Linked DNA regions of Kluyveromyces lactis. The protein of the gene in region 2 binds, or shares a complex with, the protein of the main gene of each other region. Links are inferred from orthologs where the notes say so. Each region holds a gene or a part of one and is shown on either strand. Other genes may lie near its edges.

Evidence for each region.
Region 1: SPP1 (region 2) and SHG1 share a complex: the UniProt entries of both Saccharomyces cerevisiae proteins name them as parts of the set1C/COMPASS complex. The link is inferred for Kluyveromyces lactis from reciprocal best matches to the Saccharomyces cerevisiae genes SPP1 and SHG1.

What each region holds. Positions count from the first base shown.
Region 1 is NC_006042.1:196,914-198,585, reverse strand, and holds SHG1 (Shg1p), read right to left. Parts: upstream 888-1,672; coding exon 501-887; downstream 1-500. Other genes in the region: POP4 (RNase P/RNase MRP complex subunit), read left to right, coding at 1-454; KLLA0_F02167g (uncharacterized protein), read left to right, coding at 1,141-1,672. UniProt on the Saccharomyces cerevisiae protein: The COMPASS (Set1C) complex specifically mono-, di- and trimethylates histone H3 to form H3K4me1/2/3, which subsequently plays a role in telomere length maintenance and transcription elongation regulation.
Region 2 is NC_006040.1:618,686-621,329, forward strand, and holds SPP1 (Spp1p), read left to right. Parts: upstream 1-944; coding exon 945-1,973; downstream 1,974-2,644. Other genes in the region: MCP1 (Mcp1p), read right to left, coding at 1-601; KLLA0_D07282g (uncharacterized protein), read left to right, coding at 2,430-2,644. UniProt on the Saccharomyces cerevisiae protein: Component of the Set1C/COMPASS complex that specifically mono-, di- and trimethylates histone H3 to form H3K4me1/2/3, which subsequently plays a role in telomere length maintenance and transcription elongation regulation.

The DNA.
Region 1 (1,672 bases), on a different chromosome or scaffold from region 2:
GCAACTGCCGAATTTTGAAACTTTCTCCTCCATGTTCGAAGATATATGGTGTCCATACATGAAAGAATTGTTGAACATCCCAGATAATCACAAAGTTGGAAATCCATTACCTTTGAACTCTCAGCAAACTTTGATCAAGCTCTCTATGGCTGATTATAACGGGTGTAAGTTGAAGGTATCTAAATCCAAAAACAAGTCATTAACTGGGAAAAATGGTATTGTAATATGGGATGCTCAAAAGACATTCATAATCATAACGAAAGGCGGATTAGTCGATGAATTGAAAAGCATACCGAAGAAAGGAACAACTTTCGATTTCGAGATTCCAATCAATGAAGAAGAATCTTTAGCCTATACAATTCTTGGTGATAGATTTAAATATAGAAGTGTTGATAGAGCCGGTAGAAAATTTAAGAGTCGCCGTTGCGATGACCTATTATATTACATTAGTTAACGAAGTAAAATATATATGTAGCAGCCTTGCTACTTTATCTGTTCAATCAACTATCATTAGTTTTGGCTTCAAGGATAGTTCTTATCTTTTGTCTCGTCGTCGCATCGTCAAGTGAATCACTCAGAAGCTTCTCCACATCGATATTTGACGTGTTTAAACTCTTGAATCCGTCTTTAAATAATTGGCCCTCAAGAAGAGCAGTCGTGGTACCTCTGTTCTTGAAAATTAAAGACTCATCTTCATTTACCCTATCACGAACTAAATCCCTTACTCGGCTCTTTATGAATTCGTCCAAGCTAATATCACCCTCTACATTTTGAGATAGTATTTCATTCTTTAAACTGTCTAAATGACCCTCCTTCTTAAAAGTTTCCGCCAAATATTTGGCAGGATCTAAAGACTCTTCTTTCAAATCGTTACCATTACTATTCATGCCGTGTACTACCCTTAGGTGATTGTGAAACCATCAATACCAGACCAAGGTAGCAATTTCTTACACTGAATTGCAAAGAAAAGGTCTGCAAAATCGCCAAAATTTCCAGTTTTTTGGCCAAGACAAGATAGTTCAATAGTCAAACCTCCATTCAAGATGCACTTCAACAAAGAAGTGGCAGGAGCAATAGAGCTTCTTGTTATACGTTGAGCCCTGTGTATGACACCTGAAAGATATGAACTATTAACTTCCCATGAATATTCGAAACGGAAAAGAGCTAACATGGTTCACCTACGGTAATTTAGTGAATAAATCAGAGGATGAGTTAAAAGATGTGAATAAACGACTTACACGATGGATTGACCAACTAAGGTACTCGGATGCTAATGGATTGGACGACAATAAGAACCGTTTACTCGATGTCACAAGAGGTTTCTTACAAAGCTTTGACAATGAAATGCAGCATATGACTAACACTATTGAAAGTCCATTGACTATTGGGAGCTTGGCAAAACACATCCTAACAATAAAACTTCAACTAAGGAAAATACAGCCTCTTTTCTTACCTTTAGAGCGAGCACTACACAAACTCGGGTTAAATATACGACATTACTCACTTCTCGTACAATGGCTGGTCACCATTGTTGGATATAAATTATATTCTGAGTTGAACGATCTAATTAGAAGAGGGTTTGAAATTGAGGTTGAGACAAGATCCATATCGAATGACCAGTTTTATGAGGTTTGCAAGTTATTTTCAGACTTAGGATTTGATTCACATTATC
Region 2 (2,644 bases):
CTCTGTCTTTATCTAGTAGCCATTTGACAAAATCAAAGTCTATATCAACTTTCGCCGTATTTGGCAGCCATTTCATGAGGGCACCATGAAAGAATAATACTGGAGTTAACAACCATCCTGTAAGCTCTTGTGGATTATATTGAAGGTTTCTCTTGATCCCAATAAAGTACCCACTTAAACCACCTACAAGACCAATTCTAGATTGTGCAAGTGACTGAGTATCCAGCAAGGATTCGGCATTATGTGTTTTCGAAGAAGTAGGCAGCTTCCTCATTATTCTCAAGGCAAATCCGGATAATATATGTATTGATATCCCAGTCCAAATCAACTTAGATCCAAGTCCAGATGTGAGTTCTCTAACCATCATTAAAGCATCGTTTGGAAAAGAGGAGGGCTCAAGAGCAGGAATTATTAGGGCATTGATACCGTGTAACGGAAAGTACGTTACTAGAGGGAATAAAGACCATTTTTGCGTCCACCTTAGCCATTTCTTAATATTCAACACTAAATTGACGCTGGCATCCTCGGGGGTTTTTGCTAAATCGGGGTCGATGTGTTTGGTCGGAATGGGCTTCAACGGTGTCAATTTCGCAGCAGTCATGAAGTTTATCAATTATAAGTCAGCGAATCACGCACTTGTTCATATACTCAAAGGGCAAGTGATATTTCTGAGAATCTTGGTATATCTGTTTCTTAATTTGATGTTGGCTTATTCATTACATTCCATCTTTACACATTGCATCAGAAAAGGAATATTAAAATGTAAAAACCATTACACGAATCGATGAAGGTAAAATAAACAGAGAAATAACACAAATATGGCCTGTGAAGGGTACATGAATGGTTGCATTTGAATATTACAAAGAATATACTTCATTTTTTCTGCCTAGATATTTATCATCATAAGATAACTCCAGTATAGGATTGAATTTACAGTATTCACGATGTCATTACCTAGTTGGTGCCCCAGGTATGACAGCAGGAAACACGACCCAAAAACTGGGGAAGAAGTTTATTGTATATGTAAGAAACCAGACACTGGGGAGTTGATGGTAGGATGTGATGGATGTGATGATTGGTTTCATTTTTCCTGTTTAAAGATCCCCGAGAAATATAGAGATCTCGTTTTTTCATTCTACTGTTCGTATTGTAGTGCTGGAATTACAGGACCGGCATTGATAAATGGCGGCAAACTACCGAAAACTCTTTGGAAGAGGAAATGCAGGCTCCCTGAATGCTATACAGAGTGTGATGCCAATTCAAGAAGCAAATATTGTTCAAAGAAACATGCTGTTCAATACGTTCAAAGCATTGTTGATAAGTTAAATCTACCTGGCGTAGATAAGATTGCATTGTTGAGACAGCTTCTAAACGAGACAACATCATTGGAGGAATTTAAAACGCTAGGACGAGACAAGCTTCCAGAAGTCACGTCACCTTTATCCAAAGATCAATATTCCAAGTTGCTAGAAAATGATCAGCATTTAAACAAATTAATTAACGAACACGATGAGTTGGTTTCGGTCAAGCTTTCAAAACTAAATGAAGAAGATGCAGTAATAGAGAAATACGTCAACTGGATCGGTGAAGTTAACGAGAGATTATCCCCACATTTCAATCAGCCTACAGGTCGAAAGAAGTCGAAAAGTGCAAGTAAAGTTACAATATGCGGCTACCATAATGAGTTCACGATCCCTCGGTCAGTTGAGGAGTTTTTAGATAAGCTACTTCAGTTGAAAGAAGACGAAAACAGTAATATCACATCAGTTGACGGTGTTTGTGTAAAGACAAAATGTGCTAAGCATCAGGATTGGATTACATTGTCCCAAAACGATCTCTCGGAACAGAAGGACTCTCTAGAAAACGTCAAAAGAAGACTCGATTTACTAATTAGCGTCAGAACGAACCAATTGAGAATCTCATTCTTCGAACAAGAGATGTCCAATCGCGTCCTACCCGGTGTTAAGACCTAGCTCATATCTAATGTGTCACTTTTCTGTCATTACAATGAAGGCGAAACGCTTATATTTAACTTGTAGCATCAACTAGCAAGAAAAGCATGTATAAATAATTTAACCTAATACAAACATCAGGTTTTTCATATGCTTCTAGTCCAATAATTGAACGTATATAAGCTTTATCCTATCGTAAACCTAATTCATCTAATCGTCACATAGTTAAAGTCACTTACCATGTTATTCATTCTATGAGAAAACAATATAAAAATGAAAAACCAATGAGCTCAATATCACCATTAAGGTCTGGTTGTTTTACGAAATATAAAGGGGCAGGACAAAAGATAGCAGACATACCTTATAATTGTATCTCCTATTAGGAACCTCTATTCTCTCGCTGTAAGTTTCAAAGATATTGGTTTTGTGGTAAGCGTTTGGAGGAAGCTTTTAAACACATAAACTTACAAACAAAATATGGCAACAGATATCAGAACAAACAAGGTTAAGAACGAAGAGTTCAAGATCTGGAAGAAAACTATCCCATCCTTGTATGAGCATATCTCTACATTGCAACCTAAAATCTTTAGCCCTTCTGAAAGTGCCCAGTCACCTGAAAGGAGAGTTTTGTTCACCGAACTTATCTCGGAAGAGGCAGATAAGGGTTTATTGAACACGTCTATTTACTATTC